Linked DNA regions of Sus scrofa. The protein of the gene in region 1 purifies or fractionates together with the protein of each later gene. This does not show direct contact. Links are inferred from orthologs where the notes say so. Each region holds a gene or a part of one and is shown in the gene's direction. Other genes may lie near its edges. The genes, in order: RPP14, RPP40 and POP5.

What was found.
Region 2: the proteins of RPP14 (region 1) and RPP40 purify together in Homo sapiens (co-immunoprecipitation; 3 studies listed by BioGRID and IntAct, with this or other methods). This does not show direct contact. The link is inferred for Sus scrofa from reciprocal best matches to the Homo sapiens genes RPP14 and RPP40.
Region 3: the proteins of RPP14 (region 1) and POP5 purify together in Homo sapiens (co-immunoprecipitation; 3 studies listed by BioGRID and IntAct, with this or other methods). This does not show direct contact. The link is inferred for Sus scrofa from reciprocal best matches to the Homo sapiens genes RPP14 and POP5.

The regions. Positions count from the first base shown.
Region 1 is NC_010455.5:40,060,834-40,065,124, forward strand, and holds the start of RPP14 (ribonuclease P protein subunit p14), read left to right. Parts: upstream 1-1,344; 5' UTR 1,345-1,613; intron 1,614-1,624; exon of another isoform or gene 1,625-1,805; intron 1,806-4,291. UniProt on the Homo sapiens protein: Component of ribonuclease P, a ribonucleoprotein complex that generates mature tRNA molecules by cleaving their 5'-ends.
Region 2 is NC_010449.5:2,992,531-2,995,374, reverse strand, and holds part of RPP40 (ribonuclease P protein subunit p40), read left to right. Parts: intron 1-2,056; coding exon 2,057-2,255; 3' UTR 2,256-2,844. UniProt on the Homo sapiens protein: Component of ribonuclease P, a ribonucleoprotein complex that generates mature tRNA molecules by cleaving their 5'-ends. Also a component of the MRP ribonuclease complex, which cleaves pre-rRNA sequences.
Region 3 is NC_010456.5:40,523,127-40,527,559, reverse strand, and holds the start of POP5 (ribonuclease P/MRP protein subunit POP5), read left to right. Parts: upstream 1-1,625; 5' UTR 1,626-1,737; coding exon 1,738-1,757; intron 1,758-1,830; coding exon 1,831-1,973; intron 1,974-3,374; coding exon 3,375-3,524; intron 3,525-3,707; coding exon 3,708-3,791; intron 3,792-3,893; coding exon 3,894-4,009; 3' UTR 4,010-4,433. UniProt on the Homo sapiens protein: Component of ribonuclease P, a protein complex that generates mature tRNA molecules by cleaving their 5'-ends. Also a component of the MRP ribonuclease complex, which cleaves pre-rRNA sequences.

The DNA.
Region 1 (4,291 bases):
CATTGCACCTAATGAAGAAAGATTTAGTCTTCAGATTTTTCTTCGATTTTAGAATTGCAGATAAGGGACAGTGAGTCTGCATTTTCTTTTTTTTTTTTTTTTTTTTGTCTTTTTGTCTTTTGTTGTTGTTGTTGTTGCTATTTCTTGGGCCGCTCCTGCGGCATATGGAGGTTCCCAGGCTAGGGGTTGAATCGGAGCTGTAGCCACCGGCCTACGCCAGAGCCACAGCAAGGCGGGATCCGAGCCGTGTCTGCAACCTACACCACAGCTCACGGCAACGCCGGATCCTTAACCCACTGAGCAAGGGCAGGGACCGAACCCGCAACCTCATCGTTCCTAGTAGGATTCGTTAACCACTGCGCCACGACGGGAACTCCTGAGTCTGCATTTTCTACCTCCTCTCTCCAACCTTGGCAGATGGGGGTGGGAGGTGACATCTTAAGGAAGTCTATTCTTCCATGTGAAAGGAGAGGCATGCAGAAGGGTATGGTCCAAGACTCCCTCTTGGGAGCCTAAATTTTACTTACTATCAGTATTATAAAAATGATGCCCTATCACTTTAAAAGAAATCAAACAAAAACGAATGCTGAAACAATGTGAGGATCTCTTACACCCTCCACACAGCCCAATCCTTCCTCCATCAGTCCCCTTGGGACCCATCTAGACATTATACTTATGTGTCTATGTATGTATGTGCATACCTAGACACAGACACATGTCTAACTGGAGGAGGCTGTTACCACCGAACCTAAGTTCGACTGCTTGCCGCTTGAAAGGCTAATAGTGCCTGGCATACGTAAGCATTTGATTAATATTAGCTATTAATACTACTATTATTATTAATCCACACTGTATGGGGTTTTGTTTATTTCATGAATACAAGTGCCCTATCTTTTGTTTCCAACATCTAGCACATAATACGGGCTCAGTAAGTACTTATTTAATAAACGAATAAATGAAACTATTGTCTTAGATTTGGAAATAGGGCTATCTGGGACTTTTCATGTCAATCCAGACAGAAAAACTATGTGCTATGAGCCAAAAGAGACACTGAGAACGGGTCTTGCCCTTGGGGAATACTTTACATAGGAGATGCTCAGCAGAAGAAATGCTAGATACAATTTTTCTGAACGAATGAATACCTGAGTAAATGAATGACTAAGAAAAAAGCTCTCAGTCTGAATACGCCCTCAGTCACACACGGCTTGCCGCACCAGAGGCTGAGTGGGCACGAGAGGGCGCTAAGCCTGGCGAGCTTCAGATCCCGAGTCACGCCCGGGTCCTTCGGGAAAACGCCGCGCTGTGACGTCATATCCGCCCGAGCCGTCACGCATCCGGGGTCGGGGCAGACAGAAGCCAAACGTAAAGACCCCGGAGTTTTCTAGTTCGTGCTTAGGCTCCAGCCTTTGCCGAGAGGTTCCAAGCCTTGAGGGATTCTTGCAGTGAATAGGAGTCAGGCTAATCTCTCGGAGAGCAGGTAGACGGAAGTACGTAGTAGCGTGGCTGTTTTCCGGCAGTGGACTTAGTTGGCCGCGCTAGTGACGCGTGGATGCGCGCGCCAGGAAGGCACGCGCAAGGCGGGAGCGACGGCAGGCAGCGCGGAGACGCCTGAGGTACCTATACAGCTCAGGTCGCTCAGCGCCCCAGGCCGAAGGCGAGGCGGTGCTGAGAATCTCCTTGGGCTTTTGTACAACGTGGTCTTTTTTGCAGAGGGCGGCGGGAGGACTGAACGGGACCACATGTGCAGGGGGCATGCACTCGGCCCCAGGTGGGCGCCCAGTCGACGCCGACGGTCATCGAAAAAAGTTAGCCTGCTTTACTTATTGTTTAAAACAGTTCAGGTGTCGAGTTCCACTGTTGTGGCAGCGTGGAAACGAATCCGACTAGTAACCATTATGTTGCTGGTTCGGTCCCTGGCCTCGCTCAGTGAGTGGGTTAAGGATACTGCGTTCCTGTGGCTGTGGTGTAAGGCTGGCAGCCCTAGCTTCCATTCGATCCCTAACCTGGAACCTCCATATGCTTTAGGTGCAACTCTAAAAAGCAAAATAAAACAAAACACCAGCCTAAGTGGCTGATAGCTTAACAATTTAATCTCCAAACAGTAGAGGACCGAGCTTTTTAAAATTTTTATATCGTTTATGTCCTGTAATTACATACTGAGTGCCTACTGTATGTGATGCACTGTTTTAGCCTCCTGGGAAACAGCAGAAAACAAGGGAAAGATGCCTGTTTCTCTTTGGATTGTACATTCTGGTAAGGCCGGGGTGGGAGGGGGGAGGAGCAGGGCGGAGTGCAGACGAGAATTAAAGAATTTCAGAGTTTCCTGGTGGCTCAGCGGGTTAAGGATCTGGTGTTGTCACTGCTATGGGGTGGTTCGACCCCAGAACTAACCCCTCGCCGCCAACGCACCCCACCCCTCCAAAAAATAAGTGGATTTCATAGTTATGTTCTGTATACCTACAGAGTGGTGTATGCTCTGAGGAAAAAATAGAGCAGTGGCGTGGGGGGGTGACATTAGATAGAAATGCCACTGGAACACATTGAGGGGTGAAATTGAGTAAAGCTATGGAGGAGGCAAGGGAATGAACCATGTGGCTGTCTGGAGGAAGAGTATTTTCAGCGAATGGAAAAGCTGGGAGGGAAAGAGCTAGGAGGCCTGTGTGGTAGAAGAGACTGAGCAGAGGAGAGTGGTAGGACAGGAGGTCAGAGGGATGGGAGGAAGCAATGGTACAGATCAGGTTGGACCTTAGATGTAAAGACTTTGGCTTTACTCAAGGCTTCAAGCCTTGAGGAAAGGGGCTTATTAAGGTTTTAATAGGGTCACCCGGTTAGATTAGGGAGGGAAGCAGGGACATCTACTGCTAATAGATAAGGTAATGAGCATCCTTGCAGCCATCAAAAAGGCCGGCTTCAGAGATGATGATAATGACAGCCACTTAGAAGTGTTCACATTTTCCCAGTGAGCCTGGTGAATGAATATACTGGGCTGTAGGGAGGGCTTCCCAGGCATCATCTCCTTTAGTTTCAGGACAACCTGCAGAGGGCGGTGCTGTCACTCTGAGACCCAGGCCTGTCAGAGGTGACTGCTCAATAAACACTTGCTCCTACAGTTTTTTTTTTAATATAAAATAAACATAATGAAAAATTTACTATTTCTAAATATACACTTCATTGGCAAGAAGTATAGTCACATAGTTGTACAACTATAACCACTATCCATTTCCAGAATACTCCTTAAGTCTTCTTTGTTATTGGCATCCTAAGCCCCAGGCCCAATCTCACTCTACCTCAGGCAGCCACCTCCACTAAGGCAATCAGTAATGTTTAATAAACACCTATTGTGTGCCAGGCAATGAATGAAATGATTGAGGATACTGTCCTCCCTGCCCTTCCAGTCAGGGGAGATTGTAGTGATTGAGAAGGGAGCACCGTGAACTACTGCAGTCCTGAAACAAGAGTTCCCACTGTGGCAAAGTAGGTCAAGGATCCAGCATTGCTGTAGCTGCATCTCAGATTTGATCCCTGGCCCAGGAACTACATGTGCTGTGGGCGCGATGGAAAAAGAAAAGAGAAATGAGACACCCTTGAATGCTACCACCATTTAATCAGTCATGTATTCAATAAGTGTTTGTTGAATACTCTGTGCCAGACTCAGGAAATACTCATATTTGTTGAATAGGTGGTTGGATGTAGTGGCTTTGACCTTGACTTCTCATTTTCTCTTGAGGTTGTCTTCTGGGAGTGGTTGGAACTGGGACCGGAGAGGTTTTTGTGAATGCTGGTCTACAGCTATGTGACCTTGGAAAAGTTCCTTTCCTTGGATAGGCTTCAATTTCCTGTCCCTTTAGTTGGGGGAACCACATATTAAACAAAGACAATGTTAAGAGATGACATACCAAGGGAGCCTAACTTACAGCAAGGTGTCAGAGAAGGGCTCTCCGAAGAAGTGATGTTCCTAGAAGAGGTGAACTTTAAGCTGGAATTTGAAGGATGAGTAGGAGCTATCCAGAGTGGAGTGAGGTGGGTGAGGAACCCAGGATAGGGGTTCTCTTCAGGGGGAACAGCATGTACTGAGCTCTTCCAAGTTCCAGATCTATTGGGAATGGCTTGAGTGCCCATTCCAGGAATTCCTTTAAGACCTTTGCTGTTTAATCTGTCTTCACAAGGCTGACAGATAGCCCTATGCAGGCCTGGCCTCTGGACTGAGAGAATAGGCAGATCCAGCATGGGGGCAGGGCAGCAGAAATCTACCCTTCATTCTGTTCATGTTCTGTGTTGACTGAGTGTAAAC
Region 2 (2,844 bases), on another chromosome or scaffold:
TATGTAAAATAGAGAGACAGGAGTTCCCTGGCAGCTCAGTGGGTTAAGGATGTGGTGTCGCTGCTGTGGCTCGAGTTTGATCCCTGGCCCCTGGAACTTCTGTATGCCGTGCATGTGGCCCAGTAAACAAATAGAGAAACAACAAGGACCTACCTTATAGCATAGGAACTGTATGCAATAACCTGTAATAAGCTAGACTGCAGAGGAATCTGAATAAGGATACGTATATATTAAAGAATCCTGGAGTTCCTGTCATGGCTCAGTGGTTAACGAATCCAACTAGGAACCATGAGGTTGCGGGTTCGATCCTTGGCCTTGCTCAGTGGGTTAAGGATTTGGCGTTGCCGTGAGCTGTGGTGTAGGTCGCAGGTGCGGCTCAGATCCTGTGTTGCTGTGGCTCTGGCAGAGGCCGGTGGCTGCAGCTCCATTAGACCCCTAGGCTGGGAACCTCCATGTGCCGTGGGAGCAGCTCAAGAAATGGCAAAAAGCCAAAAAATAACAACCTTTGTTGTAAACCTGACAATAACCCATTATAAATCAGCTATACTTAGAAAAGAGCAGAACTTCCCTGTGCTGGTTGAGCACAAAGTGCTCATTTTTCCTGCTCTGCACGCCCACCCCCCACCCCCCGTGTGAGTGTAGTTGACTTATAACATCATGGAAGAAGACAGCGGTGGGGATTCTGGTTGTGGTGCCGCGGAAATGCATCCACCTAGTAGCCTTGAGGACACAGGTTCGATCCTGGCCTCGCTCAGTCAGATGGGGATCCAGCATTGCTGTGAGCTGCGTTGTAGGCCGGCAGCTACAGCTTTGATTCAACCCCTGGGAACGTCCATATGCTGCAGGTGTGGCCCCAAAAAGAAAAAAAAAAAATAGTGGCTCCAAAAAGAAAAAAAAGTCCCTTCTCTACAGAACACACTGTGGTCTCTTTAAGTCCTGGAGAGCCGCGAAATGTTGCATTTGGCAACAGGGGCGCGAAGGGAGCTGCCCCCCGTGTCCCCATCACACCCAAGGTCCGCTCCAGCTCTAACACCGTGAATCGCAGGGCGTCAGGGACACACCAAGGTTTTTATAGTGTTGGGTTGTCCGTTCTGGGCGGCGCTACACAAAGGAAACGTCCGCAAACTCGAGTCCCGAGTCGAAGACTCTCAGGCAAGCTTGGCGCCCCTCGGTCTTCACGCGAAAAATGCCTGAGACTTAAGGGTTGGGGGTTTTCCTTCGCAAACGCAGCCTCCTTTTTCACAATCATTGGCTTCATAATTTGATTTTCCTCAATGAGAAGGTTGAAGTTTTTAAAATGTGATGTGTTTTCAGTAAGAAATTCAGTAATTATTCTGCAGTGTCTTGGTTTATGGGGACTCCGAAAGCAGCGCTGCTGAAGGGAGGGAGGCGATTCTTACCCCATCTGCGGGATTTTTTATTCTTCGAATCTCGTGCGATCGTCCACAGGGAGGGTGGGACAGCTGACCTCTGTTCGGTGTGCTGCGTGTGGGGGATGAACCCTTGTTGAATTCATAGTGTAGCACCAGGAATCTAATTTGCATCGCCTCATTTTTATAAACAAAAGCTAAGGTCAGAGTTCCCACTGTGGAGCAGTGGGTTGAGGGCTTGGCACTGCTGTGGCTCGGATTCTGTCCCAGGCCCCCAAGTCACCTCTACATGCCCTGGGTGCAGCAAAAACAAACAAACAAAAAAACCCTGAAGTCTGAGCTTCCTGGGAACATCAAAAAATACCACTTGTACTGAATAAGTAAGAAATAAGGGGAGTTCCCATTGTGGCTCAGCGGAAATGAGCCCCGACTAGCATCCATGAGGACTCAGGCTCGATCCCTGGCCTTGCTCAGTGGGTTAAGGATCCACCGTTGCCCTGAGCTGTGGTGTAGGTCGAAGACGTGGCTCAGATCCCGCGTTGCTGTGGCTGTGATGCAGTTTAGCTCCGATTGGACCCCTAGCCCGGGAACTTCTATGTGCCAAGGGTGCAACCCTGGAAAGCAAAAAATAAATACGTAAATATATAAATTCTCCCTGTTTGTTAAGAATTATCTGTCTTTTTCAGTCGCTACTTTGATGAACCAAAGTTGGCTCCGTGGGTGACACTGGCGGTTCAAGGCTTTGCCGACAGCCCTGTTTCCTGGAGAGAAAACGAGCACGGGTTTCGCAGAGGAGGAGAGCACTTGTACAACTTCGTGATTTTTAACAATCGGGACTATTGGCTTCACATGGCTGTGGGAGCAGATGATGACTGTCCCCCGTAGAAAGCGCAGAATTTAAGGTCCTGTTTGTTCATGTGCGTTGTCATGCTGCTTGATGGTAAAAGGACCGTGTGTTCACTCAGACTTGATGGTGGTGACATTTCTCAGACGAGCCTCTCTTAGCACCTGCTCCAGACTCGGGCCCATCCTGCGGCTGCAGCCGGGCCTGCCGTCCAGTGGGAGTTCGTGGCTGATTTGTCCCTTTGGTAGGAGCCCACGTAGGGTTACTGCCTGGTGCCAGGATGACCAGGGGTCAGGTTTCACGGGACCATTGGGTAAGCGGGACTCGGGCTCCTGCTTGTAACCTCTTTGCATAATAATACAAAGAAATTCTTCCGTCCTGCTTGCCAGAGCCTGTTCCTGCTGTAAGTGCTGTTCCTCTTTGACCCTGTTTAATTCTCACATCAGAGGGAACAAGCGCAGAGGGTGTAAGCTTCCCGAGGCCACCCTTGCTCGTGGGTCTGAGATCAGTCCCAGGCCAGCTGGTTCCTGAGTGTGCGTTCTCGCTCTCCTTATTCTGGGTCAGGAGAGAGATTTGGAATCTGCGTATATTAAGGAACAAGTTGAAAGAATTTCTTCCCCAGCAGCATGG
Region 3 (4,433 bases), on another chromosome or scaffold:
AGGTGGAAAAATTGAGAACTCACTTCAGATCTCTCAGACAATCTATTGTGAAATCCGACTCTCTCTTCTGGTTCACAGGGCCAGCTAAGTCGATGACAATGACACAAATAGCCAGGGATGTGTATAAAGAGCTAGTTACAAGGCTGGACAACTAAGTACTGGCTATAACAAGAAAATCTGGAATTAATTTAAATATCCATCATGGAAATATTGACTAGATCAGCAGTGGTACATCCAAACAATGCAGTCTGGGGCAACTGAAAAATAACTTTGTAGAACAGCTGGCATGAAAATATAGTCAAATGACAAGAATGAATCTTACAGACATTATGTTGAAAGAAAGGAGCCAGACATGCACGCACACACACACAAATATGCTGCTGGAGATTTACATTTATATAAAGTTCCAGAAGAGAAAAAGCTAATCTGTCATGACAGAAGTCAGAATATAGGCTACTTCTGGGAAGGTTTTTGGCTCGGAAGAGAGCACAGGAACCTTCCTGAGTGTTGGAAATGTTCTATCTCTTAATCTGGGCAGTGGTTGCAAAAGTTTATACATATATAAAAATTCATTGAGTTATGCACTTAATATGCATTTTATGTATGTTATGCCTCAGTTTTTAAAAAGATATTCAATGTGAGGGGAAAGAAGAGTAGTAAACAGTATGATCCTATTCTTAAAAAGAAAATGGAAAATATAAATTATCATACAGTGGAAGGTACATCTCGTACCTTTTTTGTCTCAGGGCCCCTTTCCATTCTTACTAAATTATTGAGGATCCCAAAGAGCTTTTGTTATGTGAAATATATTGATACTCACTATGTTTATTAAAACAGAAATGTTTAAAACACCATGCACAATTCTCTTAGCCATCAGAGCAATGTCAGCACATGTCACTGGCCTCTGGAAAACTTTACTGTCCACTCAGAAAGTGAAAACAGCAAGTAACACCTTAGTGTTACTACAAAAGTAATTTGACCTCGGGGGACTCCCTAAAAGAATCTGGGAAAATCCAGTGGTTCCTGGACTTCACCTGGAAAACCACTGGAACAGGGGTAAAATGTTGGAAGAAAATCCACTACATGATAAATTATTCTCTCTAGGTGCTGGGATTATAACTTATTTTTATTTGCTTCTTTGTGCTTTTCTGTTTAAAAACAAAAACAAAAAACAAACCAAAATAACCAGAAAATATAACGACCACGGATTGTTTTTGCAAAAAAACAAAAAAACAAACAAAAAAAAACAAGCCAATACACCCAACTCCATAAGGTTATTGAAAGGCCTAAACAGTAATAACATATTTGGCTGTATGGAGAAATTAAACCGAGCTCCAAACTGAGAATAAGAGTCCGATTTCCCCTATCAATCCCTGGCCTGGGGGGTGCAAGGTCTTGTGCTCAAATGTTCCACCGTCCAGCTTGGGTACTATGTTGCAAGGTAATGGAACGTCCTGGAGGTTCCAAATGCCTCAGCTGCATCCTAAACAGCAAACTCTGGCGTGGAGCACAACCACTCATCACAACGGGTTCAGTTGAAAGTCTAAGCGAAGAAATGAGCAGGACGCCTGCGCTCGGCAGAGGGAGGCGGAGCTCAAAGGAGACTGACACGGGGCTCCGCCTACATTCTAGTTCCGCCTCCCTCTCTGAGTGGCTGCCAGGCCAACTTCCCATTGGCCGCCGACGAGAAGGCAGACATCCGGTTTGAGTGTCTGGACGCCCGAGGCGGATACGAACATGGTGCGCTTCAAGCACAGGTAAGCAACCCTTATTCCTGTCCCTGCGGTCCTGGCCCCGGCCCAGCACTCACCGCCCTCTCGCCTGCCCCAGGTACCTGCTTTGCGAAGTGGTGTCTGAGGACCCCCGCTGCCGTCTGAATCTGGAGGACCGAGTGCTGGGCGGCCTAGTACGGGACACGATCGCGCGCGTGCACGGAACTTTCGGCGCGGCCGCCTCCTCCATCGGCTTCGCGGGTGCGAGGGTGTTGGGGAACCAGGAGGATGGCGGGATCTGGAGGGAGCAGTGGCCATTGGAGGGAGAAAGAAGGGGCACGGGCGACCTTGGAAGCTGCCAAGCCCTGTGCACCATTTTATGTAGGGTGTCGTCCTTTTTAGGAGTTTCAGAACCCGAGCCTGAGGTCTGCTTGAGTCCAAACTTAAGCGGAGAGCTAATACCAGTAGGCAGTGGGCAGAAAATACCAGTCGGCAGAAACCCCTATACTATTTGACGTGTGGTTTTTGATTGAGTTTAATAGGATGATGAAAACTAAATGAGGAAAGACTTGTATAGTTCCGAGTAAGTTATTTGACGGGTTACTTTGACATCATATGAAAAAAGCATTGTCAGAATTACCCCTGAAAAGCCCTGCATAGGGGCCTGTGAAGTACAGAATACACAGTTGTGTGTATGTGTAAATGCAAGAGAGGACCCTCCTCCACAACCACACTATGTAAATTCATTCCGTTTTTTACCATATGCTTGAAATTGAAATCTGGAGAAGGTAATGTACCTAGAGGCAACCCTTCTACCAAGGTGAGACTCGGTTGCTGGAAGAACCTACATAGCCCAGTTGCAGAACTTGTTTTTCAGCTAAGGGAAAACATCCTTCTGAAGAGTATGGATTTCTGCCACCCCCCTCCTTGGGTTAACTAGTTTGTGAATTAAAAGTGCATTTTAGGAGTTCCCTTTGTGGCTCAGCAGTTAAGGAACCTGACTAGGATACAGGAGGATGCATATTAGACCTCTGGCCTCTCTCAGTGGGTTAAGGACTCAAGGTTGCCCTGAGCTGTGTAGGTGGCAGAGGCAGCTTCGATCCCGAGTTGCTGTAGCTGTGACATAGGCCTGCAGCTTTAGCTGATTCAACCTCTAGCCTTGGAACTTCCATATGCCATGGGTGTGGCCCTAAAAAGCAAAAAATTAAATTCTAAATTCATTCACCAATTCTGAGTGGTATGTAAAGGCCCTAGATGTTATTTATCTCCCATTATTTTCCTTCAGAAATCAGTTTTTACTCATTGATGGCATCCCAAGTGCCACCGCCTTGAATGTTTTCTGGTACATAGGCTCTCAGTTACCTGAAGATTTTTTTTTTTTTTTGCTTTTTTTAGGGCTGCACCCACAGCATGTGGAGGTTCCCAGGCTAGGGGTCGAATCGAAGCTACAGCTGCCAGCTTACACCACAGCCACAGTCTACACCATAGCTCATGGCAACGCCAGTTCCTTAACCCACTGAGCAAGGCCAGGGATCGAACCAGCAACCTCATGGTTCCTAGTCAGATTTGTTTCCGCTACGCCATGACAGGAACTTCTACCCTAAGATTTTAAACGTGCTCCTGAGAATCCATTTTCCCAAAATGATTTTTTTCCTGCTGCAGTGCGATACCTCAATGCCTATACCGGAATAGTGCTACTTCGATGCCGGAAGGAATTCTATCGGCTCGTGTGGTCAGCTCTTCCCTTCATCACATACTTGGAGAACAAAGGACACCGTTATCCGTGTTTTTTTAACACCTTACACGTGGGAGGTAGGGGTGCATGTGTTATGGCTGCTGATTTTCAATAGGAAACAGGTTCAGAGTTCAGTCTTCAATAGTGGGTGGGTCCTCCTGCTACCTTGCCAAGAGCAAGATAATTTTTCCTAGCTCTGCAAGACTCTGAGGCAAACACCTTTTGCGAGCTGTTGACTGCAAAGCTCTTTCTTGTGTCAGGTACAATTAGAACATGTCAGAAGTTCCTCATTCAGTACAATAGGAGACAGCTGTTGATTTTGTTGCAGAACTGCACTGATGAAGGTAAGCCCTGCTAGCCCCGTGCCCACTGAGCAGTGACTGACCTCCTCCAGCTGAATGAGAGGTCACTTCCAGAGACTTTAATAATCCATGCTCTTTCTCCAGGAGAGCGGGAAGCTATCCAGAAGTCTGTTACAAGAAGCTGTTTACTAGAAGAGGAGTCCACTGGGGAGGAGCTTTCAGATAGTGGCGGTGAGGAGGCTGCTGAGACAATGGAGTGAACTTTTGCAGGCTGCGTTGCGCCTAAGCTTCAGGGCCTACTTGTTGGACAGGGAATTCTGGGAGGCACTAGCACCTTCTACAGTTCTCAAACTGGATGACTGCTGATCAGTGGCCAGTTACCAGCTCAAAATGAATTGACTTATTGTTTAAAACTTGCCGGAGTTCCCGTCGTGGCGCAGTGGTTAACGAATCCGACTAGGAACCATGAGGTTGCGGGTTCGGTCCCTGCCCTTGCTCAGTGGGTTAACGATCCGGCGTTGCCGTGAGCTGTGGTGTAGGTCGCAGACTCGGCTCGGATCCCTTGTTGCTGTGGCTCTGGCGTAGGCCGGTGGCTACAGCTCCGATTCGACCCCTAGCCTGGGAACCTCCATATGCCGCGGGAGCGGCCCAAGAAATAGCAACAACAACAAGACAAAAAAATAA